Linked DNA regions of Lepisosteus oculatus. The protein of the gene in region 1 interacts with the protein of each later gene in a pairwise test. Links are inferred from orthologs where the notes say so. Each region holds a gene or a part of one and is shown in the gene's direction. Other genes may lie near its edges. The genes, in order: igf1ra, grb10b, ptpn11a and shc1.

Region 1 (7,965 bases):
CTTGCTGGATTTTGCCCCATAATTGAGCTTCTATTCCAACCAACATGACAACAGAGATTTTGTTTGCCAAACCTTCACCAGAATGGTGCCTCTAGAGCAGGCTAGGTGAGTTCAGCGAGCGGGTACTGCAGGAGGTGTTACCTACAGTAAGTATTCTGTTGGGCTACAGCCTCTCATATGATAGGGTGTTCCTGATTCATATGCTCATAAAATAGCTTCAGAGTTTTCATTAATTACCTACCTCAGGCATGCCTCTCAGGTGAAATACCACTGTGGGAAAGCCTCAAGTGTCCTACTGCAAATATTGCAGTAAAGTAAGCCCATGTCCATTATGATAAGCGCTATATAAGTGTAAGCAATTATTATTATTATTATTATTTTATTATTATAGTTTGCAATGGTGTTGATCATGGCTTTCTGCACTATTTTGGAGTTTACTATGGTAGAGTTCTTTAACTGTTATCATCATCGCCCAATCCTACAGCACTTAGTGGAAGTAAATTCTGTAGGACTTTTGCAGAGTAAACTGTGGTATACCATTACTTACCAAAGGTAATTATGGTTATTAGAGAATATTACAGGGATTGTTGTAGTGGTTCTTTATCAGGGCTAGCTGTCCTGATCTGCAGAGAAAATACTTCAGCTGTGGAAGGATGACATGTTACTGCACATTTCTGCATGAAATTGCACATGAATATGCGTGTTTAATTTTGTCGACCCCCCCCCCCAGTTAGAATTTGCCTGCTATATCAGAGCCACTGCCTTCTCTGTCATCCCCATGTCACCAGTGGGTGAGCTGCTGTTTTCCAGGATGGTTCTGACATGAGGGGTGTGGGAGTCTGGAACAGGCCTGCCAGCCATGTTGCCAAAGCCGATAACCTGGCTTGTTTCAGTAAACAGCTGAATGGGATGCTGGGATCAATTAGCTACTCGCTAGCACATGGCCGAAATGGACTCCTCTGGTTTGTGCCTTCGATATGTTCTTGCGATGGGGACCAGCGACTAATAAGAAGGTTCTCCAATATGTATTGTCCCCTTTTCATAATAAAATGTTTTTTGCACTCTGTTTTTGAAAGTTAAGTGTTTAACATTACAACCATGTTGAACTTTACAAAAGCCTTTAATCTGCTGAAGAAGAATCAAGAGTATCAGGAGGATGAAAGAAGCCTAAGAAAGCTGAATGATGAAAGGACGTAAGCCCACTGTGGAATGCCTTGTTTCCTGACATCCAAAGGTGCTAAATAAATTTTGGCTACAAAGGTGCATTTTAGTGGAGACTACAGTCCACAACTGGAGACTGCATTCAGACTTTTTGAGTCCATATAATAGGATCACCTTTTTTAAAGTTTGTTGAAATGATTCCTCTTGTCAGCATTTACAGGGACCGCAAACAGTGCTAAATGTCAATGGTGAGTGGAGGCTGAGATGAAAAACAAAATGTGCAGTGGGACACAACTGCAAGCAACAAAAATGTCTGCTTCCTACTTACTCTTGCATAGTATGATAAAATACTGGCATTTAAAGTTAAACTCTTAACTCACATTTATAGGTTGTTACCACCTCTTTCATTTTAAAAAATCATTTTGAACTACAGTAAAAATCCCTTTTTTTGTCTGACCATCTACTGTATCTGTCTGTCTGGGGGGCTGGCGGTCTGCACAATCTCCAGGCAAACGTGATGTCTAAATTCTGTTGGAGATAAAAAGAGCAAGAGTTATAAGCCCTGCAGAAGTGCCCTTCATCTACACAAACAAAACTCTCATTCCCCCTGACAGCAGAGAGAGAACTGTAAATAACACCGATATCACCATCAGGTACCTCATGAGTCATATTCAGCTTTTAATTCAAAAGCTTAAGCTGTATTTAGCCTCCCATTCAAATCTGTGATTATGATAATAGAAATTGACACATAATTGTTTCCGCATTGATGCTCCTGTTTTAACTGTTTCATGCTTGTCTGATGATTGTGTGCACTGTTTCACATATATTCATCTAGATATTTGACGTGTATCCGTCAAGTACATGTGAATCGCAATAATTCTCTTCACACAGACCGTTGCAAGGGGATTTGGAGTTTTAGTTGCTGATGGACTGATTGTTCAGGTGGATGGTAATAGTGCTGGCAATCACACCTAAACTATGTATTACATTTCTCCAGTGAATATCATCTAAAAGCACAAAGTGCGTGCAACCAACCAGTTCAGGCAAACGAAATCAGGTGCCTATAGTCTGAATCAAGGCACTGAGGACTTCTCTCACTGTATTTCACAACACAGCTGGGTGAGATGCTTCCATCAATTAGCTACTAGCAACCAAATTGCTTCTTCAGAATCTTTCCTATGTTTGAGGCAGGATTCTGTTACCCATACCAAAGTCAGTTAACCTGTCATTTCTTATTATTCATTACATTGAATATTACATTGCAATACCCTTGAATTTTTTTCACACTTACAAACATATCATGTATAGCCAAATATAAAACTTTAGAAGCTTACTAGTATATATATGATTGCAAGAGCTGGCCATCTTGGTGAAGAATGGAAATGGAGTAAGCTATACGTGATTACTGAAAGGTGCTGTGTGAAATACTCTGTTGTTTGGGGCGAAGACGTAGTGCAGACATGCTCGGAGTGCCGGGAGAGCCGGCTCATTGTCAAGTGGCTGCTCCAGGGCTGATCCGGGCGAGGGCGCTGACTCAGGAGCACGCGCTCGACATCGTAGAAAACACTCGGCTCAGCAACAACCACACAGCTACTGCCACTGACCCTGCACGTGTCCAGTTTGTGCTACGCTGAAAGCTTGGAGGCTGTGCTTCACCTCTACTCATGAAGGACTGAGAATTGGCTGCTTCAATTGAGGTCAACAAACTGTACAATGACACAGTTTGGTTACATGACAATGTTACACGGACGGTTGTCAGTCATCTGGTCGAGCACAGATACTGTCCTGTTCAATCCTCCATCTCCACTGCTCAGCTCCTTCATCCTGTAACATCTGCTATGACAGGGGTGACCAGAGGTGGCCAGTCCAACAGGTGTTATATTGTAGGTGGCTCTTGCATCGGCAGTTTGTAAAGACGTGGAGCAGACGTGAGTTTTCGATTTCGTAAGTTAATTTGTTCGGTCAAGTCACAAATGTGCCAGCTGTGGTACTTGAAAGCAGCAGGGTTGGGGGATTTTCTTTTCAAATGACCTCTAAACTACCTCCAGTAATTGCATAAATCACCTGCTTACTTGGACAAAATGAAATTCTTCCAAGGATTTAAAACTTTCTGATTCAGGGGGACCTGTAATACCTCCCGGATTGCAGCCCTTCAGAGCTGGTCTGCTCTGTTCTTGCTATTCCAGAAGGAGTTACTCTTTACAAATTCCTTCTTTCGCTTGTCATACTTCTTGCTGTGTCCATGCAATATTATGCAGTTGAACAGTGTTAACTGGATCAAATAAAGATGTTATTAAATACGATGATGGATGTAATCTAAACCAGTGCTTCTCCACTTTTGAGGTACCAAGGACCATCGCTCTGAGGCCTCTGAGGGCTGCTGAGGGTCAAAACTGTCCCGACGCTAGAAGACACTTCAATGGGCAGTGTTACGGCAGAGACTGGTCGTTATTGCTCCAGGCAGAAACCTGGCTCTAGACGGTCATGTGATCAGTTGTACACCGAAACATGTTTTACCAAGGAAAGTTACATTAGGGTGATGTAACCTGTAAACAACATATCTCCCGCAAATCATTCTGTGACACCATTGTGTACACAAGGTAAGTGGAGTTTAAAACAAGAGCTCAGGAGCAGGTCCAACCCTAACCTTGCCCACTCCTATGGATATGCCCAGAAGACAAGGACAGGTTTGCTATTCCAATCACGCCACCTCTCCCCCTTGATCAGGTTATTGAAATGCTACCTCTTGACCTCAGTGGGCACCAGCTCTCCTGTCAGGCACCGGTCAGCATGTGGAGAGACAGGTGGAAGAAGCACATGCCAGGACCGGGCTTGCTGGTCTCCATTCACTCTGTGTGGTGCAGAATCTGCGGTGAAGTCAAGCCTTGAAACATATAGACTGGTGACAGGTTATTCTTTCTTATTCCTTACAGCGTTATCGCTGGCAGCTGCGCAGGCAGTGTGATATATTCATTGCCTCTAGTTTGCTGGATGCTACCTTGTGCGAGGCAGACTGGTGATGCCCCAATCATCTTGTCTGCAAAGCCGGCGATCTGTGTTTAACGTCTGGCTCAAACTGACATCTCCTATTGAGTAACACTGTTGTTTAAAACTTTGCATGCTTTTGCTATGACTTAAAAAGGTGTTTTCCATGAGTGCAAAGAGTAATAGCAACATACTCTTTTCCAAAATATTTCGTTATAATGACTGGTTTATTTAAGTGCAATGAATCACATAAATCAAACGTCTGGGTTTATGTGGGAGCTTGTGATCAAAACCTGAATAAAGTGGAAGTGAAAAGTAAAAACTTTGGTCGTTCTGGGCTGTGTGTAATAATCATAAAATTGTGTTGTTTTTTGCTGCATCAGAAAGCTATTTAGTTGTGCTGTGAGCACATGTACAGTATGTATCTGTCACTGCACTCCCCTGAGCACGTTGCACAACTGCATACAATGCGGTAAAACTCTTTTTAGTATGCTTGGTTAACACCATTCATTCTTCCCGATTTACATTTAAAATTGGTTGGCAGCGAAAACAGCCACGGGGCTGTAGACAAATACCAACGCTAACTCCGTGATTTATCTGTCCCGGAGGTTTTCTGATAACTCCGCGTTTGACTGGGCCGAGATAAAAGAAATACTGTCGATGCAAACCCAAAAAGAAGAAAAAAAAAGATCAGAGGAAAACAACATCCGAAGGAAAACCAGTTTCTTTCGGCGTGGAGCGGAGTGGCCAGACGGGGAAACTCCATGCCAGCTTTTCCCGTCTGCTCTAGTTAGCGTATGTGTGTGTGTCTGTGTGAGAGCAGGCGACTTGTTTACAGCGCTGATTCCAGCAGGCAGACACAGACAGTGGAGACGGGTGAGACCGTAGCCACGGGAAAGTAGACCGCTTCACCTTCAGCTTTCTCTCCCCCGGTTCAGAGAAAGAAGGAAGGAGGAGAAGAAGAAGAAGAAAGAAAAAAAACCCCAACAACAATACGACGGCGTGCCGCTGCATTTGCAAATTTCGACGGAGACCTTTTTCAATCTCTGTTCCTTTTCAGCGTGGGAGAAAGGGATAGATACATCCACCGCAAGTCACAGAAAAGACGGAGCGGGCGAGAGAGAAAGAAGGAAGGAGAGAGGGAGAGGGACAGGGGGAGGGGGTACAGTTGGTGAACCATTTTTGTCCTGACGGATATTTTGGATGGAGCTCAAGCCGTAGAGAGAGAGAGAGGAGAAAGGGGGAGGGAGAGAGAGACAGACAGACTCGGCGAGAGAAGGAGTTGTATTTTCATTCATTTTGTCCCCCCCTGCGTTTCTCGCCGAAACCCGGAGCCCGGCCTCGGGAGGGTCTTCCCCGCGTCTGGCGGATCTTGCAAATTGTAATTGGGGGGAGAAACAGATAAACCGGAGGGGCACGACAAGACAGCGCGGCTGCTTCTTCTTCTGCTTGTTGTTGTTGTTGTATTTTTCTGTTGTTTTGTCTGGCGAGCGAGCGAAGTGTGCGTCTCCCCTCTCCGTGGTCTTTCAAGAAATGGAGGCTGAGGATGCGGACTATCAGCCGAGCGAAAGCTGCGACTCGCGTGTTTCGTTAGCAATCTTTCATGCGTTGTATTGTTGGCAAGCCTAACAAAGCCTTTTCCATCTCCAATTTTTTTTTGGTGTGTGTGTGAGTTCGTTTGGAGAAGATAAATAAAGACCACAGGACACGAGCGATCACCTTAAAAAAGCAAGGATTTAAGTTTTTTTTTTAATTCTCCCGTTCTTCCTACCAGGAGTCAACAATAAGGAGAATTTGCTTCAAAGCCTGCTTCTCGGAAACTGAGAAGCGTTTTCTTGTTTTAGGGTTGTTTTTTTGGTTTGTGACGGGGCATTTTGAAACACTTTTTTATTTTTATTTTTTTTTGGGGGGGGGAATTTTCTCAAGAGGAATGAGGTCTGGGACAGAAAGGGATATTTTGACCTTGTTTTGGGGTCTGTTGCTGTCTATCTCCGTGATCTCCCTATGGCCGGCTAATGGAGAAAGTAAGTACACAAGTTTTTATTTTCCAGTTACAAAATCCCGTTCTTTCGTCTAATGCATTAATCGTAAATGGAAAATGTATAACGTTTTTGAAAGCGTCTTCTTGTTGTTGTGGTTAGCTCGTTTACGTGCTGTTTGCTAGCTTTTACTTAAAAAAAACGTAGTGTGAAGTTTGACCCCGAAGTTAACTTCTCTTTATCGCCTTTTCATTTATAACTAGCTAGCTAGACACTTCAGGGAGATTTTAATATGTAGGTTAGCACTGGGTTCAACAGTAAGGAACAACTGGTAATGATTTAATACGAGGTGAAGCGTTGAAGTTTGAACAGGTGAGGTGCAAGTTGGACTTCAATCAGTTTGAATAGTTCACAGAATAAAACTTATTTTAAAGGATACTGTGAACGTTGTTTACAATTACAGTCTATGTTCAGTATAGAGTGTCATTCGGTTGATATTCTTAAAAGTGAATATACAAATGTTTAGCAAGCGTTTGGAGATAACCTCAATTTAACATCTTCATAACGAGGCACCCGTGTTTTAGCAAAATGGTCTACCCGTTGCGTTTTGTATATTACGACTGATTTCAACTACCGGGATTACATTTTCATATTTATGTTCTCAGTTTAAAAAATAATCCGTCCTAATTTATTCTGCATGTTATTTTTTTTTAGTAAATGCCAGTGACATTTCGAGTTAATTTCGTGTGTAATTATATATTTTCAAGGTTGTATTTGTTTTAATTTTAGTCAGTTAACCAGGCGTTTGATGGGTTAATCGACCAGCTACACTTTTCTGATTTTATCTTGTCCCCTTAGTAATTTTGCTCTTACATGGAAAGTTTTGCGACAGATTTTTCGCTCGTTTCGGGAGGTGTGAATGACAGCCCCGGTCAGCCTCGTCCAGCCCGACATGTGCGCTTTTCTGCCCAGTAAACCATTTTACTTGCACGGTTAGATGCCAGATCATTTTCAATTTTCTGGGCAAACAATTGAAGTTATTTCTGACTGATTTTCTTCTTAGAAATAGTAACAGGACATGAACTCTTGCGAAGACCAGCCGTAAGTTCTTAATTTGATTTTCTGACTGGCATTGAACATTGAAATTGTTTTAAAAATAACACGTTTCGTTGCTTGCTTTTTCGGTTGTACATTTTAATGCTAGACAATTATATATATTGTAGGATTTAGTAGAATTTTTTTGGGGGGGATTATTTGCATGAACGCACAGAGGGGTGCTCGGCGTGTGTGCAAGGTTTCCAGTTTTATTCGCAGGCTGATTTAAAAAAGTCGCATGTTTGCACGAACTACAGGGCAGAGGTTCGATGGGCGCGCGGTGTGCAGCGTGGAATATATATATATGTGTGTGTGTGGTGGGGGGAGTATCCTCGTGCTGGACAGGACGCTCGCGGACATCAGGTGCAAGAGGGGCCCCGGGCGGCGCGTGGCGGCGCGGGGACACGGCTTCCGGTCCCCGAGGAGAGAAGGTGCTCGGGCTGGCCATGTGGCCGCGCGCATCCGGACCGCACGCGCCCCGCGGAGGCACGCCGTGTGCGCGTGCGAGCACTGCCGAAATTACTACCGCGCTCCAGTGTTCGCACTATTTTTTATGATGATTGTTGTTGTTGTTATTATAATGCACATCCTGTGGCGTGGTGCGACTTTTCTTCTGCACATGTTCCAGCGCCCGTGTGCGCCCGCACCAGGGCGACCGTCGTCGCTTGAGATGTATTTTAATAATTAATAGATGTATTTTGACAGTCGCTGACAGATGTTACGGCTGTGGCGAACGGGAGATGGT
Region 2 (7,966 bases), on another chromosome or scaffold:
ATCGCTGAACGTAGGTTTGAGTTATACCACATGAAGGAGGTGAAATTGGCTATATATACACACAGTCATTTTCTTGATCAGTATTATTTATATTTCTCATTAGCCAATGCAGTATTCATTTATTTAAAGTTTCCTGGCACAGTCAACACTTATTTAACCCCTTTTCTGTTTTTTTGTCAAGAGATTCATTTTTGTGCAAGTTTTTAAACCAGGTTTAAGGGGTTAATGCAGGCACCTATGTCCAATTGTGTCTTTGTGGATCCATCTTGAGTTAATTGGATACATTGCAGTATCAAATTTGTAATGCAATTCATTGCTATCATAGCCTGCTGCCAAGTGGATGTGCACTAAAATGTTGTTTTGCTGTTACATTTCAAAAGTCATTTTTTGCTTATGCTTTAAACCAGCTTTTTAAAAAAAAATATTGATCATCACTGTTGATACAAATAGTGACACAGACATTTCCCGACAGTGCTGCTATCATTATCATTAGTTATAGGCCACTTCCTGGTAGCTTCCTGATTACAGATTGAGGCTTGACTGTCACTGATGAATCATCACTGGTCAAACTGCTGAAAACTGGCTACAGCCATTAAAATGGACTCTTCCCCAGTACTGGCCAAGTAACTTGTAATTGAAAGAAAGGTTTTAGAAAAATAAATATTTTTCTTTGAGGCCTGAAGGCTCTCTGCATTAGACTATTATATATACAGTACCTGTCACAGTCATGATAACAAAATAAGAAAAAACGCTTTGTTCATGTCAGTATGAAAATAATAGAAATCTTTTTCACTAAAGCATTAGGGTGTTTTAATTGCTCTGGATCTCCACCACAATGATCACTTTCAATATTGTGATTAGCTGTGTCCCTCCTTCTCTGCTCACATACTGTACAGTATCTCCTCAGGAAAGGCCATCTCTAGCCTGTCATTTTTCAGTCTCAGGCCTACAGGGTGGAGTGGGACATTGATGGAGAAATTCAGTAATTGATCCCAGCTTTGATATTGCACTCAGCCTTTTAAATACCGGTGAGCAGCACCACAATGTGAATGACAAAGAGTTGGCACACACCACTGCACACAAGCACATAATGTCCCTTTATAATTTTCATTTTACTTTTTTCGTTTAGCATTGTCTACATACTTGTACCATACATACTTCATTTGTAATATCAGGGGCTAGACATTTCACAATTTCAAAACTAAAAAATAATCCTCCATGTAGGACTAAAGACATGCCACTGTGAGTTTAGTTAACACATAAAACATAGCAAATTTTCAATATATCCTTTGACATATAAAACGCTTAAAATGAACTCAATATTTTGTAGAAAATAGACTATAGACTGAATTACCACCCTCACTGCCAAACATTTATGCATATATCTGTATGTTTCAGAGCTCTATATATTTTATTGCTCACTGACAATGATGGTGAGTGAAGTGAAGGGAATGCTGCTGAAAGAGATAATGCATAAAATCATATCTTTATTACAAGGGACAGTACAGCACACATGAATTTTAACAACGTGCAAAGTAGTGAATATAAAAAAAGGATGCAACAAAGCAAAATCTCTCTATGAAAGTCAATAAAACAATTAAAAATCAAGAATTAAAACTGCCATTGATGTCCCGGGTCATCAACAGGTTTTTCTCATGCTTTAAACTTTCTTACAGATGGACCCCAATCAGCTCCACCATTGAATGTGCTCACTGAGGGCCCGTGGAGCACCTGCAGTGCTGAAAAATCATTATGAAGGCTTGCTCCTGTGAGCTGTAATCTCTGGACATGCTCAGATGAATACGGACTAACATAAATTAGCCCTGTCTGGCACACATCAGGCTGTGCGTGAATTTACAGTCTACAGTCTGTATTAGGATGGATGCTGTATTCTAATGAGAGGACTGATGAAGGTTAGCCCTTTTTTCTTGTGGTTAGGTTGCAAAAAGCTCACATACTGTATTCATCTCACACCAGGCACAATTTTACTCAAATTAATCAGAGGAGGGAGTATACAAAGAGGAAATTAACACATTAACATATCAAATGGTATGCCTTGTTCTGCAGTTTCTCCAGAAGTAACAGGTGGCCATCTTGGCTCAAGGCCACAACACAGGGCCTGAGATCTGAACCAAGATGGTGGCGTTCTCACAAGGCCACCTCTCTCTGCATCTCATTCTAATGATCAAAAAGAAATATGAAATTATATATATTCTTAGAATGTATTTTGATTATGCTGAAGGTTGACTTTCTTTTTATGACATGCAAGGGGTCTTTTGGGTCAGTCAGGATATTATCTATAACTTTCATTTTCAGAAAGTAAACAGCATGTGTTATCTATCTATGTATATGCCAAATGCACACTTAGGTACTGTTTATATACTGTACAGAGATTATAACTAATCTGGTAAATCATCATACTCGTATAAAGTATGTACGAAAAAATGTATAATACCCTATAACCATGTGCAGAAGATTTCCTATAAATATGAGCCCATATGGCAGTGCCACTTTCTGCTCAGCTGGGAAAAGTTTCAGGCAATTAACCTTCTACACTGAAGAATCATGAGCCATGATTGGTTCTTCCCATGTTGGCCAGATACACAGATCTCTGGTTGTTTTTGCATTATTCCTCCGACTAGTTTCTAATTTCTCACATGCAGGGATGAAAGGCGACCAGATGTGAAAAACAATTTCATATATACTGTAATTGAAAAAAAACTATATCAAAAAGGTAAATGTAAACACATCTATAGAAATAATTCCATTGGTCACATTCAACCAATCAGATTTTACTGTATACCGTGGTAAAACCAAACTAAAGTGTGTTAAAACCGCAGTAAAACCACGGTGAAACATAAAGATAAACCATGGAAAACTACGACCAAACAAAGAAAATGAATGATCAAAGCATGACAGTTTGTAGAGTTAATAATTCTTAATAATGAAATCTCTCTATTGGAAAAGAAGAAAATTACAGATTACCACTTTAGGAAAAAAAGTACCTGCTCTTGCTGTTGGTTTACAAAGATGAAATGCATAACTGGCTATAAATCTCAGTTTAAACAGTACCTCTTATGATCTGCATTCAATTAACCTGCTTACATTTTCTTACGTTTATAAATATGTCTGATTTCTCCAGGCTGATTGAGAGGAATTGTGCTTTGTTAGGGTTTTACATTCCTGCAGGTAATTGTTTGTTTTTTTTGTTGTTATCACATAGTTGCAACACTATTTCTGTATACATCCTTTTTGGTCTTGAGCACCTGTTAACGTGAGAAATAAATGCAGTGAATTGCAGGTATGTGTATGAAGTAACTGTTTGTCCAATAACAACACTGCAGCAGAATTGGAATTGTTCAGTGACTTCTAATTCTTTTTCCTGTACGTAAAGCTAACTGCTCTTGACTCCTAGAAAGGTGTTCATTCTGGTAAATAGATGGATGGATTTATTAAAGACTGAATTTCCGGTACTTTCCTACACCTACTGTAGAATGCAAAATGGCCTCCTCAGTCCTAAAATCTCCCCTTATTTATTTATTTTTCTGATGGAACCCTATTTGATGACCAAGCATGAGCTAATAGTAGGCACTAGTATTTGGCTCATACAATATATGCTGGTAGAGTTTACTGTCTGTCTATTCATCTTTGTCAGCTAGAACTCCAGGACTCAAACAACCCTAAAGCTAAGAAGAAAAATCAATTTGGTTCACCACAGGGGAATGATTCTTTCTCAACATGGGTTTCACTTTTCTCTGCTAATCATACTCCTGGTGGGACTGTCCAAAAACTGTTCTGTGCAGTCACTTCATTTCCAATTCACACGTTTGCTGCTTGGCAAATTCATTTCTTTCCTTTTTGTTCCATGGAACCATGTTACCATGGAACTCAACCGCAGACAACGAATTCATGAGGTCAGCCCCGAATGGAAGTCTTGAAGAGTTTCCAGAGTATTTTGAAGATTCCCATTTGCTGGCCTTTGGAGGGAGTTATATTTCCAAATACCATCTCTGAAGGTACTGTACATTTGGGCAGCACTTTCTCATGTCCTGTTCCTTGTGAGGAAGCTGCCATTAGGCTTGAACATCTTGGAGATAGACACCACAGCTGAAACTGAGATGTCTTCCAGATGTTTTTTTGTAACTGAAGTTTTGTAACTCTCACTAATAAACAGAGGCAATCAAGAAGTCTTCCAGGAACTTGTGTAAACTTTGCAAGGCTTTGTGAACCTGACAGAAGACTACAATAACAGAGGACTGCATTTACAGCAGTTCAACATATTCCCTGGCTATGATATGAATAGATTTGAACATTGTATATGTAGAAAGGTATTATTTTTACATTTATGCTACTGATATGCAGTATTCAGTAGGTTTTCATAAATTTTAGCACATTTTGATTATTTAGTCGTTTACACCTGCACTTTAAATCTGCTGCTTGTTCTAGCTGTTACTGTACATAACAGAGGTATATTTGAGTACATTTGGGTGCAGCTAAGGCAAACACATAAACAGTGCCGTATCTTTTTATTATTTTTGTATGAGTGGCTTATTTCAGGTGCAACCGTTTAAAGTAAGGTTTTAAAACCGCCTTAGACGAAAGGGCTTCTCTAGAGTCAAATGCAAAGTATATGTACTGTATATGTGTGTGAATTAACTTTGGAGGAAATATTTGGTGTAACGGGGCAAATTATTGCAATCAGAAACAGCATGTTTTTTTCCATGCAATTCGATGTAGTAGAATATAACAAAACAGTTTTATGATTTCTAAAGCACCTTCCTTAGCTTTTCAACAAATGGACGATACAAGGGATAAATATCACGTGGATGCCTCTACCCCTGAAAGTGTGGGAGTGAGCGGCTCATAAATTACGTCAACGCAAGGAGTCCGGGATGGTGTTGCAATACCTGACTGAAAAAAAAAACAGTACACATTTAAAGAGCTCCTGTCTTTCACGATCCTTTCCCATGTTGCTGTATGGATTCGTCAGGAGCCGGGAGGGTACCTAGGCAGTTAAAAGCACGGGTGTGTACCCCTTTAGTAGGCGGGGTATAGATTTAACTTGTCTGCGCAAAGATGCCGGGGCAGAAGTATTTTTTTTTTTCAAAAAAAGTGTAGGTCTTCTACAGAATAGAAAACACAAAAGACGCACTTTATTTTCCACACTCTGGGGAGGAGGAAGATTTCTGTATCCCGAGTCATCGCAGTGAAGGGCCGGGAAGACCAACAGGAAGGCGAGAAGCAGCGGGGAGGGTGGGGGTACACGGTTTGGGGCGCCCGGTGCGCAGATCGGTTGCGCACGGTTAACGGGTTAAGCAGCCCGAGTCCCCCCCGAAGGTGGTGCCTGCGCTTCGCCGGCGGCTGTGCGTGGAGGAGGGGGAGGTGTCTGCGGGGCAGGTGGGTGGGGTTTTCTCGCGTGTGCTGGGGGAGTCAGCTGAGCCTGCAGCCCGTGAAAAACTGCCCGTTTTGGACGGGGGATGTTGTGCGCTGGGGAGACCGAGAGAGGAGAGCTCCGCTGAGCAGCGACTTCGCGTTGGTGAGCTCTGCGGCTGAAGTTGCGTTAAAAGTCGACCCTTCCCTGGCTCGCAGCCGTTATTTTCTTTGGGAGGGCTCTGGCTTGAAGGTAGGTCTCTTGAGATTAAGCAGCTTGTGGTATTTTTGTTGCTCCGGTGCGCTGCAGCGACTCCCCCGCTGTGTAGCGAACAAAGTTTGTGAAGAGCTGAGTGCCCGGAGATGCGAGGCTGGGTGGGTGGGTGCGCTGGGGTGCGAGCTGCTCCGGTCGCTACTCGGTAAAGGGAGAAGTCAGCTGTCCCCCCCAACACTGTATTAATGTCAGTCGCGACAGTTTCCAGCCTAAGTTTAAAGCAGGAGTGTCCTCGCTTTTGCGGTGTGGCACAGAAAATCAGGATTTGCACCAAGTGGTCTGAGTTGTTAAATCGAGCTTCTGGATGAGTTGGGTTGCAAATGTTAACGTCGAATTGAGAAAGCTAAAGAATCCAAGATTTGTCCGCGCTGTTTTGGAGACTTGGAAGCCATGGTCGCGTCAAGCGGGTTTATATACACATTTCAAATCCCTTTGCGGAAAGAAAAATCGGCGTGCGACAATATATAGCACGTAGTAAGTGTGGCGTTTAAACGAATCCCCAGTCGAGTTTAATACCAAGTTTGGTTCAAGACTTTAAATACAATATTTTTGGAGTGGTTCGGTAACTTTTAAGCAGATCTTCGTTTAGCGTTGAGTTTGGGGGTGGGGTAAGACGCTTTTCAGAGCTTTGCATTATTGAAACGGGCAAGCCAAAGTCTTTTAACACATGGATTGCGTTTTGTTACTGCGCTACGTTCTATAGCTTTGCGCATTCAAAGGCGTATTTGAAACATTTACAAAATAAACTTAATTTGTATCGTCGAAGGAGTAAATAATTCCGCTTTTACATTTCCTATAAGGCACTTGTATTATTTGGCGAAAAGTGATGTTTACTTTGGCGTTGCTGAATCAGCAGAATTCTACGTGCACTCTGCAGTAGTACAGCGGTAATCACGACTGTAGTTGCAACATCGACCTCATCCCCACCGAGGGCATTATGTTAATGTAGTGAAAAACATCCACCGTTAAGATTTTTTAAAGCAAAGCGTGTTCTGACACATCTCGCAGCTGGCACTGCAGAAGTGGACAAAGGCATAGAGACTGTCGGTTTCAGTTTACACAAGACTGTATTACACTCCTGTGTAAATACCAACGAGGTCTTGGATAATAACTGGATTCTGAAGTTAAAGCGCGCATAATGCAGGCTACACAGACTGCATTCACTTTAATGCTGCCATTTTGTTCCTTTTAGACTTTATAATTATATTGATTTCCGTATTTAGTAAAATATTGGTTTTACTAAATGCTCAATTGGTAAAGGTTCACACGATTTCAATTTAACTATGCATTATATTCCAGCACTTCTTAAGGTGCAATCGATGTTATTTTGGGCAGTGCTAGAACAAAGTTAAAATAAACAGGTTTAAACATTGAAATATTAGCGATTGTGTTTTGGGGTTGGGAATGGTCCTAATTGTTTATCTAGTGGTGTTTGTTTGAAAGAAGTTGCAGTTAGAACCACAAATGTGAAACTACTGTACAGTGTATGAGGTAACTTGGGGCTAATACCTAAACCCTTCAGACGCAGTCCTGAAAGATAAAGGGGTTTGCTAAGGGTGCTATACTTCAAATGTCATCATTTCACACTTGAGCAGCAGATAATAAGGCTTTAAATGTGTGTTTCCCATGAAGAGGATATTTTGTGCTTTTATAGGCTTTGTGAAGTGGTGATCTAGCTAATTTTTGTATCCTGATCCTTTGGATGGCCCTTCTGTTTTGGATTGGTCCTTTTTAGGAATTGCGTTATGGCATCTGTATCGAAAGAGTCAGTATAGGGTGATGTGTGGACAAAGACGGACAAATGGGTTCTGGTTGTTACAAGAGTTCCCTTTACATACCAGGTCTGTCACTCCAGGCATGAAGCCTTACCTACGTCTCGGGAATCTGCACAGAAGCCTATTTGTAGAATCTGAATGTTCTTTCCTTTTAGTAGATTCAGGAAAAAATGTGCACAATATAGTTTTGTTTTTAGTGCCTTCTGTAGATGGTGGGTTGATGTACTGCAGGGTCCCTCCAACAGGGATCTGGAGAACCCCATTCCAGTCTCTCGTGTAGGTCACCTTTTGTCTCCCCATTCCACGGATTGGCAGCACCTACGAGCAATTAGAGCATTAAGGCTGGGGGAGGCTGTTTGTTCCACTGTGCTCGTTGGGTAGTTCTAGTTGCTAAGTGAAAATAAAATTTCCTCCAGCTGTTTTTATTAAGAGTGCCCAGAGTTTGGCCTTCAACCACCTGGCTGGGAAGCCTGTTCCAAAGACTCGCAAAGTAAAGAAACATTTCCTCTCCTCCATCCAGAATGAAATGCCTTTTAGTTTTGTTTTC
Region 3 (7,482 bases), on another chromosome or scaffold:
TCGTATCCTGCTGCCGGCAGAGGAATCCTACTCTGTTGGGCCCCTGAGGAAGGCCCTTAACCCCAGCTGCTCCAGGGGTGCTGTATAAATGGCTGACCCTACGCTCTGACCCCCAGCTTTTCTCCCTGTCTGTGTGTCTCATGGAGAGCAAGCTGAAAAGAAATTCCCAATACAAGAAATTGTATACGGCCAATAAAGCGATCTCATCTTTCTTGCATATTGCTTAATACCCCTGACATACTGTTGTTTAGGAACGATGTTGCTTATACACAGTTTGCATTATGGATGCATCACATGGTCAAGACTGCCACCAATGTCTCCCACAGTCTAAAGGCACAGGATGCACCCCGAGGGGCGAGTGGACGGGCGCTGACCTTGGTCTCCGTGGTCTTGGTCTTGCGCTTGTACAGGGCCCTCCTCTCGTACATGGCGCTGCGGGAGAACCTCCTCAGGCCCCGCGCCAGCAGCGGATTGCGGCACGTGTGGTGCAGCTTCTTCTTCGCCACCTTCTTCTTCTTGTCTTCTGCCATCTGACGGAAAGGGGGGGGGGGTTCAGATTCAATCCACTACAGCCACACTGCTACATGCATGAGCAAAACGGGTCTATTTTCTAACCCAGGGCAACAGTGCGACAGGTCCTGAGACACTCAAAGTACCGAAGGCAGGCTTGTCAATGAGTCGATTAGCTGGATGGCTAAGAGTAAGGTCAGAATGAAAACCTAGACAACGCCCCCCACCATTCAACGAGCCGGGTTCAAGCCATCCGCCAAAAACCACCCAGGCAGCAGGAGTGCGGCTTGGATTAGCCGTGTCCGCAACGCAACCGCATGAGCGCCAAGATACATCATCTCAAGGGTAAAACCTACTGCAATGCATTGTTTACTGTAAGAATTCTAGCTCTAGTTCAAAGCGAAAATGCTTTCAGGCTCCACGATAAAAAAAACCCGCCTCATGTCAGAACACCGGTCTAGTTCATCAGCGTCTCCAAATCGGTACGACGCTTGGTTTCAGCAGTTTGATCGAAACGAGGGCAGGAAAAATAAAACAAGTTATCACGCAAGCCTCTGAAAAACAATTCGCAAGGTACTCCTGATAACGATTTAGGAGCACTCACGAATCTGACGCAGGGAAGGCAGGCAGGCAGGCAGCCCGGGCGCAGGCCGCCGCCGCTACCAGAGACACACGGGAACCGGCCCGCTCCACGACGGCCTCCCCACTCGAGTCCGTGAGGAAACACTAACGGGATCACGCGGGTTTCCGAAAGTGTGGCGTTATTCTCACATTTCTAACCCGCTGATGAACGCGGGTCCGTGTGGGGTATTCGCTAGCTTGACACATGCAAAACACACACCAGCAGCCAGACCAAGACCCGTCCCCGGTAACCTGGATCCGGCTGTTTTACAGCAAATTAAACATAAAACAACCGCCTCCGAAACGTGTTCTAGACGATATGCTACTAATGTCTGCATCTACTTGTAACCCTGACAGTAACTCGTTCTAGTGGTTTAAGAATATTTCTGCACCGTGTCCCAAGTACTATAACGGCAGGCCTATACTTTCAGTACACAACAGCAAATTACACCATCAAAAACCTAACCAGACGACACCATTCCCAGAAAAGGTTATTCTTAAACATGTTAGCTTTCTGTGAAGTAAGGGATTTGGGGGCCCTTTTGAGTAACTTTAAAAGATTGTCACGGATTTTAATTCAGCAATTCAAGCACCGAGGAGCCATTCTTACCTTAGCTCACTAGAAAAGGATCGACATCCGGGTCATTCACGATTAAAAATGCGCCGTTGAATGACGTCACACGCACGGTAGGTCGCAAAGCTTGCTGGACATAGTAGTTTCCCATGGGTATGAAGCCAATTTTCTTTTTCACAAGATGTTTCAATTGTCCTACGAAATTACCTATATGTTTATTTCATATGAATCGATATTATAATGATACAAAATGTAGGATCCTCAAGAATTATTCCTTTGACTTTATTTTATTTATCATTTGAAATATCCAAAGCTCTTTCGAACAAAATTAATTATAATTATAATAATTGCTTACACTTTAATAGCGCTTTTCTGGACACTCGACTCAAAGCGCTTTACAGGTAATGGGGACACCCCTCCACCACCACAAATGTGCAGCATCCACCTGAATGCTGCACATTGAAGCCAATTCATTGATGGGGATTATTAGGAGGCCATAATTGGTAAGGGCCAATGGGAAATTTGGCCAGGATGCCGGGGTTACACACCCTGGGATTTTTAATGACCACAGAGAGTCAGGACCTCGGTTTTAAGTCTCATCCGAAGGACGACACCTGTTTACAGTATAGTGTCCCCGTCACTATACTGGGGCATTAGGACCCACATGGACTGCAAGACAATGAGATTAAAAAATAAACTGTGCAAAATGAGGTATTTAAACTAAGATAATTGGTTGACAATAACTCCATGAATTCGTTAAGAATTTGCCCAGGGCAAAAAGCAGGGGACACAGCAGTTCCCTGGGGCAGGAATGAGAGCCCCTTCTTCAGAGTGGGGTTCACACCCCTCTCCTGAAGGCTGTATTCCTGCAGATCTTCACTGCAACACAATGGTTCTAATTCAGCTAATTCACATTGATCTAATATTGTCTTAACTGGAGCCGCACAACAATCCCTGCCAGCATGTTGGGTGCTAGTGATTTAAAAAGATCCTTACAACCCACAGAAATGGGGATCCCTAACCTTGGAGCAACACTGTCTTCTGGATTCCTTATCACAGACTAAGTGATTTTAGTTTTCTATTAGGGGTATATCTGTAAATTTGCTTTCAGCTCCTAAAAGGTCAAATGGAATTTGTGATTGGTATCAACACTGTACCAGTCTCTGAAATTCAGAACTGTCCTCATTCAGGTCTGCATATAGCCAAATGGGTCTCTGCAGCAGGACAAAAATGCTGATTGTGGGAGTGTGTGACAGTGTCACCCCCACCTGTGTCTGCTCACCACCAGCTGATCAACTGGTACAAACAGTTCAGAGAAATTCTGTGCTGTGCTGTGCTGTGCTGTGCTGAAAAGCATGAGACTAATCAAGGAATCAAAGAGCCAGAATAAGGGAGGCAAATTTAGCATTAATGAAACCTTTATGCACAACCTTTTTGACATGTGAAATGTTTTTGCTGGATGTATTAAGTAAAGCCCTGAAATCTCAACAACCTTGCTGCAAGAGTGGAGTACAGTAAAAAGCCGCTGGAACTCTGGAGAACTGAGCCAAAAAAGTCTGTGTCTCACCTTGGCTTTCTGATGAGCTGTGGAATCAGCACTCAGGCATCAAGGCCAAGACATAATAAGAGAACTGGCAGAAGCTCAGCACAACCACCTTGTCTGGAACTACTATGGTTGGCATCCTCTGATATGCCAAAGGAGTACTGCTCATCGATTCCATGCAGCGCAGACCTATATAATCAATAGCCATTGTAATGCTGACAGGCTGGCATGACAGCCTAAAGCCATCTTCAAAAATATCTGCTGCTACTAGACGTTCCAGCAGTTCACAAGCCCAGAGCTGTACGGAACACAGTTCACCTGCGCTGTTGTTTAACATCTGAATCACTGATCAAACAGTCCGATCTTGGCCCTAAGCAACCATGAACAGCATGGATCTAGTGAAGGACAAAGAAGCGAAACAGTAGAAGAGGTTTAAATGTATTTCCTAACCCACGTATATACTGTATACCAGTTACCACATTGCAATATGTTTTTAGACTGATTACACCCTCATTATCATTCATAAATTAAAAGGTGGCAGCTCAGAATAGTCAAAATGGATTACTCTGAGTTGTTTAACAAATCCATATCATATTGTAATAATTGATGTCCTGACTCATTTTTAGTAATAGAGTCCTTTTATGTGTATTGTATTTTTTTTACTGATCATAACTTTGGGGTATTGTGTATATGAGAAATGTTTGGGTCCAACACCACTTGGTAGTTGTGGATGTGTGCAGCAATAAAATAAGATCTGGAAAAAGAAAGAATTTGACCATATCTTGCCAGCATTGTATGATCTGTACACATCAGGGCAACATAATAAGGCAACAATAAAATGACAGTAGGTCTAAATGGGTCAAAGAAAAAGCATTATAAAGTATTTTTCAAAATACAATTACAATTTTATATAGTATTTACATAAATTATATTTACCTTAACCGCTGACATGAGTTTTATTTTATTTCAAACATTATTTCTAACTTGATTGTATAAACACATATGCTTCCAGTTCAATACAGACATTTTAAGTTCTGCAGTTTTCACTGATTGGTAATATTAGTTTATTTGTTCGATGAAAAAAAATGAATTTTATCTTACAAATTTTAATTAAATACCTGCAATTAATTATTTAATTAGATATTTTGGACGATAAATAATCTCTACTTGTTCTTGCCATAATCCAAAATGGCGAATGTAGCCTCAGAGCATGTCCCGCCCCCACAGTGCGTCTGTGTCTTGTCTAGTGACGTCTTATCTCCGAGTCCTGCCGTAGGCAGAGTCTTGCTGGTGAGGCCTAGGGGTTTTCATTTGGTATTTTGTAATAAATTTTGATCCGTGCCATCACCAGCCCGACCGTTTGTCTCTGAACCCGGGCTGAGCCAGGTTCATGGCCTGTTGGGCGCTGGTCTGACTTCTCCGTGGGGGAAAAAAATAAAACGGCTAGATTGCGCGACTGAAAATAACGAGGAAATCAAATTGAGGAACCAGCACTTGAAGAAGTAACGAAAAAAAAAGATGACATCTCGGAGGTAGGTTGTAAAAACTCTGCTTCAGCGAATGTCTGGCTTCCAAAATGTATTTTGGTAACGGTGCCTTGATCATTTTTGCCTCCTATACTATTGTCTCGTTTTCTTTTAATGTGATGACCGTCTTTCAAACAAAAAGATTAAGTCATTGACGGTCTGTATCTTCGGAAGAAATTCCAGATATGACTTGTTTTGTCAGAATTATACATCGGGATCAGCATTTTTTTCAGCACACTCGATAGCATGCACTTCTGTCCTTTTGATTAAAAAGTAAAAATATTGTTTGCACGGCAAGGTTGTGCATATGAATCGTTTATGAACGTCGTACTAGTTGAAATGAGCGTTTTCTAAGAACACCAGGCTCTGTTTTGAAAAGATTTCTAAATTTGATTTAAACCCGGAGAGAAAGTTCTATACAACAGCCGCGCTTTAAAGACCTGACGTGTCGAAATTAAATTGTTTTACGTTGTGCTCCGAAAACGAACAATTTTAGCTCATGTTCTGAAGACCGAGAATGAAAACAAACCGTTTTTCACTACTTTTCTTTAGTTTATGTAATTTCCATAATTAATGTAACCTGGGATCTGCCTTTCCCAAGAAGACGGTTTTATTTTTATTTTTCCAATCTTTTAATGCACACTTGTTATTCACGGGCTGTCGTGTAGTATAGGGGTTTTCATCATTGCCCGTACCGTCCCGAGCCCCCAGAGACCCGTGTGAGCAATCCGAGTTGCACTAATCGGGCCAATCATTTAATCAATCCATTAAACTGTCCCATTAGAAATACCCCCAGCCCCCTTAGAGGAGCAGTGCTGGCCAAGAGCACAAAAAATGCAGTCCACTGGTGTGCTGTGTGTAAAACTCTTCTGCCCCTGAACAAGCCTCCTCATTTCCACATTTCGGCGTGGAATTAACTTTTGTTCGGTTAATTGCTTTTCTCTGCCAGGCATCAAAATAGTTTTCTGCACAGTTATATTGGAAAATGCTTTATATCATCATAGAAAGCACATCTCAAGTTCAGTCTGCGTGGTCTTCTTGTGGCTCTATAAATGTCCAGGGTTACTTGATGCGTTTGATGCTAACTGTAAAATTAAGTCTCATTTTGAGACGCGGTAACTTCTGATCTTCAGTTCCTAAAGGCAATTTCATTTTCACTACTTAAGCAGGAAATCTTCCAGTAAGCAATCTAGTATTCTTGAGTTACACTGTCAAAAGGCCTGATCCATTGTACCCTAATGTTTTTTTTGGTGGCTTGTATTTTAATAATCCAGGAATCGCATGTAGTCCCTTCTTGGAGACTTTTGAGTCAAAACATCAACAACCGGAGTTTCAGCATCTTGCAGAGATCTAGATAATCTTTCCAATTCCTAAGTGCTCTATTCAATACAGGGTTGTGGGAAGGATATACCAGGACCCAAGTCCATTTGGGTATACTCACACGAGGGCCAGTTAACCTATCGGTATGTCTTTGGGCTCTAGATGGAAACAGGAGCACCCTGAAGAAACCCACAAGAGCACAAGGAGAACATACAATGTAATGAAAATAGCTAAGACAGATTTTGGATTTGATTTGATTGCTAAATTGAAAATAGGCCCTATCTTAGATACAGACATAGAGATCTAATATATAGCCTTGTAGGTATTACAGTTGCTTTCCTGGTCCTGGCACTGGTGCTACAACCCTATCAGTTGAAAGACAAAAATACTAGTTTCATTTTTCTAACAAGTAAACTGCTTGCCACTTGAAAAGTGTAATTTGATGAAACTCCACGAACAGTGAAAACGTTCTGTGAACAATGTGCACATTTCTGCAGAATGAGTTCTGCTGCTGCTTAGGTCTGACATTAATGGTCAGTTTGAAATTAATGGCAGGAAATGAGGCTTTTTTTAACTAAAGTACAAGCTCTTTAATGTGGGGTTTGTTTAACCTGTTGCGGAGGGATTCTATGGTATCAAGTGGAGTTTGTGCTCTAGTATCTATCACACTCGCGTAGTTGTTAACACAGAAGAATGCAGAGGAGCAGCGCGTGCTGTGTTGTCAGGCAAAGTCATGTCGTTCTTTCGTTCATTCATGTCTCAGTTTGTGCTAAGTGTGGGTTTCACGGTGTGAAAAGATGATAGTATAAGTGTGGACATCAGTGCTGTGTGAGAGGGGAAGAACTGTGCCGACTGTTCAGTTAGGCTGCAGTTCCTGCTTGGTGTAAAGAAGTGTGCGTTCTAACTGCGTGTGAATCGAGCTCTTCTGTATTCTTCACATCAGGCTGCAGTGTTGTGGTTCAATGAGTCTTTCCCATTAAGATGTATTTAACCAAAATGATGTTTTTAAAAGGTAGAGCAAATGAAAGTAGTAAGAATTGTCAGATGTTATGCGAAATAGTAAATCATCTTCGTGTAGTTGTACATGACACTCAAAGCATTTTAATCTTTTTTTTTTTGTTTACCACGGTACTTTGGTTTTCTTGGGGGGCAGGCAGGAGATGTTTGCTGCTGCTGTTGGTTAGGAATTTTCAGTTGGACTATATATAATCAGACTAGGCACAAGGTACAGTATAGGCAAAAGTAAGCCAATGTTCTTCTGTAGTTGGGCAGTGCTTCACATCTGGGGGACTCCAATCCTGTCTTTGGACATGCAGATGTAAGATTGCGGGTTCGGATACCAGGTGGGGATCCGCTGTCGCACTTCTGAGCCAAGTACTCAGCTCAGC
Region 4 (6,841 bases), on another chromosome or scaffold:
TGTGACTTTCTCTTTAGTTTTCCTTGTGTTCTTCTGTGTACCTGTCGGTCTACGTGAGTCAACAGAGTAGAGTCTGATCTGCCCGTTTTCAGTGCTGGAAATTTTCAGCAGCCCCTGAACACACCTGCAGGCTCTGTTTGTCCCTCAGCCTCTCGCCTGTCCCAGTGAGAGATCTGTTTGTCCCTCAGCCTCTCGCCTGTCCCAGGGAGAGATATACCGTCCCTCAGCTTGTTCCTTTTTTTCTATTTTGGAGAAATCTGATCCCGGCCACAGGGATTGTGATGGCCCAGAGGTCACCTGTCCATCGCAGTTACCGTGGACAGCGGTGTCCAGTCCTGGTTCCTGGATGGGGCTGGTGCGTCTGTGGGCTCTTCTCGGTCCCTCTAACGCGGTATCGCCTGAGGCTGTTGAACTGGTCTCATTAGGCCAGCGAGGGGCTGATGGGGCTGGTTCAGAGCGGGGCTGGGAGAAGACCCTCCAGCACCGCGATGGGAGACGCCGGGTCTGCAGCGCTCGGCTTCTCCGTCTTGCTGGATTCGCGTGGCCGCCTCCCCCCCCCCCCCCCCCCGGACCCAGCCAGTCGCCGATCAACCGGGACGGGGCGCGGCGCGGTGTCCCGGTCTGACGGCGCTGTGGTTGTTTTTGGTGGCCGCAGGTCTCGGCTGCCAGGGCCTGGGGACGGCGCGGCCGGATGGACTATGTGGTAAGAGCTCTGGTGCACCTGGTGGAGGTCGGGCACGGGCTGAAGGTGGAGGGGTGCTGTCCGCTGTGGGGGTGGTGGAGCCCGTCGTCTCTCTGAGCTCTTCTGTCCCTCTGTTCACTTACGCCAGGGGTCTCGGGCTCGGCTCCTGGAGGGCTGGATCTCTGCTCCCGCCAGGGGGGGCCAGTTAGAGATCTGGGGTCGCAGCTGATCTCTCAAAACGTTCGCTTCCTTAAGGGCACAGTCACCTGTGGAGCGTCTCGGGACTAACAATTATTCGACTAATAGCTGGAACAGCAGCCAGGAGACCCTGGACCTCCAGGATCTGGGTTTGAGACCCGGCGATTACCCAGGGCCGTGCCGTGTTGAGACGGATGGCACAACCCAAAGCACAACGGGGAGCAGGCACCAACACAGCAGTGTATAGCTGTAGCCCAGGGCTCCTTCAAGTCCACTCCGGCTGGGTTTGTAGGTCCTCTTAGGTCGTCCACAGCTGCTGATTTCTTTAAGTGGGTGGGAGGGGGGAGCAGTTAAATGGGATGGATTAGGCCTTAAGAAGGCTCATTTAGACCACTCTGCGTGCTGGTGGTCAGTTGCTGTTGTCTTGTGGCCGACAGCCTGGCGTGGTGGTCTGAGGCTCTGGACACCTGGCCGTAGGGTCAAGTCGGCTGTCGTTCCCTCAAGCAAAGGTCCAGCACCCAGAAGTGGCTCTCGATTTATCTCTCTACAGACGTCATTGCCATTCTGTGTGAAAGCATCTGAAGAACGAGCCATCTTATTTTGAGGATTTAGGAGGCATTTTGGACTGTTGCCCTTAAGGAGTGAATTGGGGATTCCTTGGAGAGCTGTCTGTTGTCATGGGGTTACCGGCTCCAGAGACCTTGGAATGGCAGCCGTTAATTTAGTGAAATGTGGCCATAAGGGTATATTATATGTTGACAAGTGACAGGTTCCTCTTTCACATACAGGCCCGTGGATGACGTTGACTTCCACGTGGATGGGAATGAGCTTCATTAATTCGGTAGTCCAGTACTATTCAACCTGCGGCCCCTCCAGTCCGCTCCATCTCCATTTCACAGCTTAGCTGCTGCCAGCCCCTCGGTTATGCAGGATCGATATCGGAATGAAAGAGCCGGTTATGTCGAAGTCGTGGAGCGGAGCGAATTGGAGGGTTAGGTAGCCCTGGCCAAGTCGTTGTCGTTGTAGAAAAATGTCCTGTGTGGAAAATAATTGTTATTCATCTACTCCGATGGAAGCAAAGAGACCAGGCCCTCCAGGAACTGAGCCCTATTGTAAATGCTAGTTTGCAGAGAAAATTAATTCTCTTTTCTCTTGAACTAAACTTCTCCTGCACTACTTCATCTGCCTCAGGTGAGGGATTTTGTGAATCGGCAGTACTACGCACTCCTGTACTATGTTAGTATAGTCATTCCCAGCTCCTCGGTTTTTAGTTTGATTCCTTTGCGCACATTTATGCTTTATGTCCCTGGCTTCTCCGTAGAACATACCAAAGCAGTGTGTGCTTGTCTGCTCCTAACATTGCGTACTAACACTCCTGCTGCTGCTCCTACTGCACCTTGTACTAATCAGAACAGCAATCAGGGTGCGGAAAATGTGATTTGGAATATGTTCACCCCTTGAGAAATGCCTGATTGCAGCTGGTTTCCAAGCACTTCAGCAGCCGCTGAATGATTCAGAACTGAATCCAGCTTCTGAAAGGCTCCCTGTCCCGTGTGCGTCGCTGCGCAGGGCCTGACGTGGGCGAGCACGGATGCCTGAAAGTGTCGTGACCCCTCATTAACAAGGCAGGAAGTTCCTCCTCCCCACCCTGGCCCCCATAAATTGAGGGGTCTCCAAACCCCAGCAGGGCACCTTGAATCTTCTGTTTTTTTTTTTTTTTACAGCTTCTCAAGCTATAAAAACAGCTTTTTTATTTAGACTTCCCAAGTTATTCTTCAGTTAAGCAAGAAATGTGTTCAGCTAAGGAAGCTGGGTGTAAGGGTCTTCAAATTTGAGCTACAAAGGGTCCCTAGATCACTTAGCACAGCACCTGCTGAACTGATCGCCACTGAAACTCTCCGGGGCTGCAGAAGTGGGTGGCGTAGTTATTTATAAACCCTACTGGACGGGAGCTGTCCGTGGCCAGGGCTGGAGACCCCTGCTGCAGACGATCAGGACCCTGACCGGACAGACTCCCGATAGGAGTGCAAGCCGAGTTTCCGAGGATCATGTCCGTGGAGCAGCGAGGGGCAGAAACCCGTCAGGAAGGAGGACTTTGGACTCGGGAGAGAAGGAGGGGCGCTTGGTCTGTGTCTCGCTGGCACTCCCTGTCTAGGGCCAGCCCGTCGTCTGCCTGATTTCCTTTGCTCTCTGCCCCGCACTTCGCCCATTGCTGTATATACGATACCCCCCCCCTCTCTCTCAGTGCAGTGTTAATGTACTGGAGTGTCCAGTCAGTCAGTGTGTCTGTATGAACCCCTCTCTCTCAGTGCAGTGTTAATGTACTGGAGTGTCCAGTCAGTGTGTCTGTATGAACCCCTCTCTCAGTGCAGTGTTAATGTACTGGAGTGTCCAGTCAGTCAGTGTGTCAGTATGAACCCCTCTCTCTCAGTGCAGTGTTCATGTACTGGAGTGTCCAGTCAGTGTGTCTGTATGAACCCCTCTCTCAGTGCAGTGTTAATGTACTGGAGTGTCCAGTCAGTCAGTGTGTCAGTATGAACCCCTCTCTCTCAGTGCAGTGTTCATGTACTGGAGTGTCCAGTCAGTGTGTCTGTATTAACCCCTCTCTCTCTCAGTGCAGTGTTCATGTACTGGAGTGTCCAGTCAGTCAGTGTGTCTGTATGAACCCCTCTCTCTCTCAGTGCAGTGTTAATGTACTGGAGTGTCCAGTCAGTGTGTCTGTATGAACCCCTCTCTCTCAGTGCAGTGTTAATGTACTGGAGTGTCCAGTCAGTGTGTCTGTATGAACCCCTCTCTCTCTCAGTGCAGTGTTAATGTACTGGAGTGTCCAGTCAGTGTGTCTGTATGAACCCCTCTCTCTCAGTGCAGTGTTAATGTACTGGAGTGTCCAGTCAGTGTGTCTGTATGAACCCCTCTCTCTCAGTGCAGTGTTCATGTACTGGAGTGTCCAGTCAGTGTGTCTGTATGAACCCCTCTCTCTCAGTGCAGTGTTAATGTACTGGAGTGTCCAGTCAGTGTGTCTGTATTAACCCCTCTCTCTCAGTGCAGTGTTAATGTACTGGAGTGTCCAGTCAGTCAGTGTGTCTGTATGAACCCCTCTCTCTCAGTGCAGTGTTAATGTACTGGAGTGTCCAGTCAGTGTGTCTGTATGAACCCCTCTCTCTCAGTGCAGTGTTAATGTACTGGAGTGTCCAGTCAGTCAGTGTGTCTGTATGAACCCCTCTCTCTCAGTGCAGTGTTAATGTACTGGAGTGTCCAGTCAGTGTGTCTGTATGAACCCCTCTCTCTCAGTGCAGTGTTAATGTACTGGAGTGTCCAGTCAGTGTGTGTGTATTAACCCCTCTGTCTCAGTGCAGTGTTAATGTACTGGAGTGTCCAGTCAGTCAGTGTGTCTGTATTAACCCCTCTCTCACTCTCTGCCAGGCAGGAGTGGGCAGTCATTTTATGTGCATTAGACCCTCTCAGGGCTCTCGAACGGCTCGCTGTTAATGTAGGAAGTGCTGTGTGCAGCTGGTCAGCCAGTCAATGTCTGTTTATTACCCCTCCCATCTGGGACAGAGTGGAAGTGTAGTCAGGTTACAGGGGAGGAGTGGATGGCGATGGGGGTGGGGCGAGCTCGCTGTGTTTCCCTGTCTCTTTTCAAACACGTGCTCCCTCCCTCCCTCCTTCCTGTGTGTGTCTGTGCACGCCTGTGCTTTCAAGACGGGCAGCGGGGAGAGAGAGAGAGGGAGCGTCTGTGTCCCTGTGTGTGTGTGCGCGTGCCTCTCCGAGAGGACACGCCTCCAGGACGGCGAGGAGGAGACCGAGGGGGAGAGACCTGCTCCTCACCGGAGACAGAAGGACTCGTTTCTATAAGGAGCAGTTTCCATCTCCGTGCCCGGCTCGCGTTTGCTGTTTGCTCGTCTCCTTTTTTTTTCCCACCTCCGTTGACGGCTTTGTGCTCTGCCAGCATCGATCTGGCCGGCTGAGCCTGGCTGTGCTGAAGAGAAGAGGGGGTGGGGGTGCATTGGGGGGGGGGAGGCCCCAAAAACCAGGGAGCAGGGGGGAAAAACTGCATATAGACGCCCGGGGAAATCGAGGGCCCGGTGATGTAGCATCAAGAGCTGGAGCCGGGTGGAAAAGAGGAGGTGGAAGGTTTGTCCGGCTGCCCTGTTATCCGTTCTGACTTCAGGAAGAGGATAAAAGGAATAAAGGGGGAAGGAGTTCGGAAGTGCGGGAAAAGGAATCTTGCCTTGTGTCTCCTCCGCCTGTTTTTCCTCACGGCCGGCTTCCAGGAGGAAGCCCGCTTTGGAAGCAACTCCAGGAGTTTTCACGGGAGCTCACGTTTTCCTGGACGGAAGGGGAGGATACTGGGATTTGCTCCCTGTCCGCACCTGCCAGCGGACGAGAAGGAGAGAAGACGGAAGAAAGGGGAATAAAAGAAAAACCGTGGATTGCCAGTCGGAATTTGAAAGGAAAATTTAATCTGCAGCTAAACTGAGAATCTCCCATCTGCTTGAGCAGGCCAGGGGGTGAAAACTGTGAGAGAGCTGCACTCCATCAGCGTGCTGGGAATTTTGCAAAGTTTTTTTTGGTAGCAATGGTGTTGAAGGAGTTGTTGGATGTAGTATCCATAATGTTCATTGTGATTGAGCATTATGGATCCTTAATGTTGTGAATCTGTGATTGCTGTTCTACTAGCTGTTATTTCCCGATTAACATTACTGGGATTTGTGGGAATGGCTTCTCCTCTGCTCCTAGGGGTTTGAATCCCACTGTTTGTTTCGTGTCCGCAGCTGTCCTGTTCTGGAAAATCCGGAAGGAGCTGGTTTTTAATGGCACAGGCCCGGCCGCATATCCTGACAGTGATCAGCCGTGTCATTAATATTAATTAGCTGTAATGTTGCCTGTTGTAAAAAGGCGCAGCGGTGTGGAGCCCATGTCTGCCTATGGATCTGCCACTGTTGGCCTGGAAGTAGCCAGGTTGTGCTGACCGGCTCTAGGTGTTCCGGCTGTAACCTGACCCTCACGGTCGCAGTAGAGAGGCTGTAGGCCCCTCTCTCTCTCGCTGCGAATGCACGGGTAGGTTGTGCCGTTCCTAAAACGGGACCCCTCGAGAGCCGCTCCGGCGTGCTGGCGAGTTGGACTGCCGTCGGGTAGCCCTGTACGGTGCTGGATTGCATGGTGACGCCCCACGCGGGTCTCTCTGGAGAGTGACAGGGGCGCAGACCCACAAGGGCAAGAGCGTTCGACGGTACCATCCGCTGGCCAAGGAAAGCTGTCCGCGGTGACGGCATGGGGTTATATAGCGCCTTGCAGCGCTAAAGCACTTCCCTAACAAGCCAGCTCCCCTGTGAGCTGTCGAAATTTCTGTTTTCAGTAGTGTCCCTGCCCTGCGTTGGTCCTGCCCTCCTGATAACATTGAATTGCGGCTTGTTCCCCTCTCGTCTCGGATCTTGCAGTTCTCTGACTGGCGTTTGCTGGAAGGACCTTTTTTTCCTGCTCCAGGGGAGGTGAAAACATTTCTTGTGAACTCCGGTGTGTCGAAATGGCCATCGCTGACTCACAGTGAAGCCCACCTTCTTAGGCATTTGCGCTGAGTCATGGCAGGCTGTCGCTCATATCGGGATTGCTAGTGTCTGATCATATTCCCAGATGAGTCAATACCTCTCCTATTACTTCAGGTGGTTTGTTTTGTTTCTCCACACTCGCTACTGCAAGTCACACCAAAACTTTTCTGACAAAAGGCAAATTTCCAAACTGGGAACGTTCTCAACAGAGGGGAATGTGAGTTTCAGTACAGGGGAAGTTCATAAAAACTCCCTTCTTGGCACGAATCTGAGCTCCACCTGATAAAAAAAAAAATGCTGTGATAATACAGTTATAATAAAGAAAGTTCACGTACTCAGTCAAAGTTATTTTCTACAACTATTCTCTCTGTGTGCTCCTGAAACGTACAACATTAAATTTTCTGTGCATAGG

Evidence for each region.
Region 2: the proteins of igf1ra (region 1) and grb10b interact in a two-hybrid assay, tested with the Homo sapiens proteins (4 studies listed by BioGRID and IntAct). The link is inferred for Lepisosteus oculatus from reciprocal best matches to the Homo sapiens genes IGF1R and GRB10.
Region 3: the proteins of igf1ra (region 1) and ptpn11a interact in binary tests that used the Homo sapiens proteins (3 or more experiments, as listed by UniProt). The link is inferred for Lepisosteus oculatus from reciprocal best matches to the Homo sapiens genes IGF1R and PTPN11.
Region 4: the proteins of igf1ra (region 1) and shc1 interact in a two-hybrid assay, tested with the Homo sapiens proteins (4 studies listed by BioGRID and IntAct). The link is inferred for Lepisosteus oculatus from reciprocal best matches to the Homo sapiens genes IGF1R and SHC1.

Annotation. Positions count from the first base shown.
Region 1 is NC_090700.1:54,514,359-54,522,323, reverse strand, and holds the start of igf1ra (insulin-like growth factor 1 receptor), read left to right. Parts: upstream 1-4,948; 5' UTR 4,949-6,076; coding exon 6,077-6,170; intron 6,171-7,965. UniProt on the Homo sapiens protein: Receptor tyrosine kinase which mediates actions of insulin-like growth factor 1 (IGF1). Binds IGF1 with high affinity and IGF2 and insulin (INS) with a lower affinity. The activated IGF1R is involved in cell growth and survival control.
Region 2 is NC_090705.1:43,180,232-43,188,197, reverse strand, and holds the start of grb10b (growth factor receptor-bound protein 10), read left to right. Parts: upstream 1-4,948; 5' UTR 4,949-5,025; intron 5,026-5,393; exon of another isoform or gene 5,394-5,623; intron 5,624-7,966.
Region 3 is NC_090717.1:11,295,387-11,302,868, reverse strand, and holds the start of ptpn11a (tyrosine-protein phosphatase non-receptor type 11), read left to right. Parts: upstream 1-4,469; 5' UTR 4,470-4,766; coding exon 4,767-4,780; intron 4,781-7,482. Other genes in the region: rpl6 (large ribosomal subunit protein eL6), read right to left, coding at 375-530. UniProt on the Homo sapiens protein: Acts downstream of various receptor and cytoplasmic protein tyrosine kinases to participate in the signal transduction from the cell surface to the nucleus. Positively regulates MAPK signal transduction pathway. Dephosphorylates GAB1, ARHGAP35 and EGFR.
Region 4 is NC_090722.1:5,526,816-5,533,656, forward strand, and holds the start of shc1 (SHC-transforming protein 1), read left to right. Parts: upstream 1-3,821; 5' UTR 3,822-6,841. UniProt on the Homo sapiens protein: Signaling adapter that couples activated growth factor receptors to signaling pathways. Participates in a signaling cascade initiated by activated KIT and KITLG/SCF.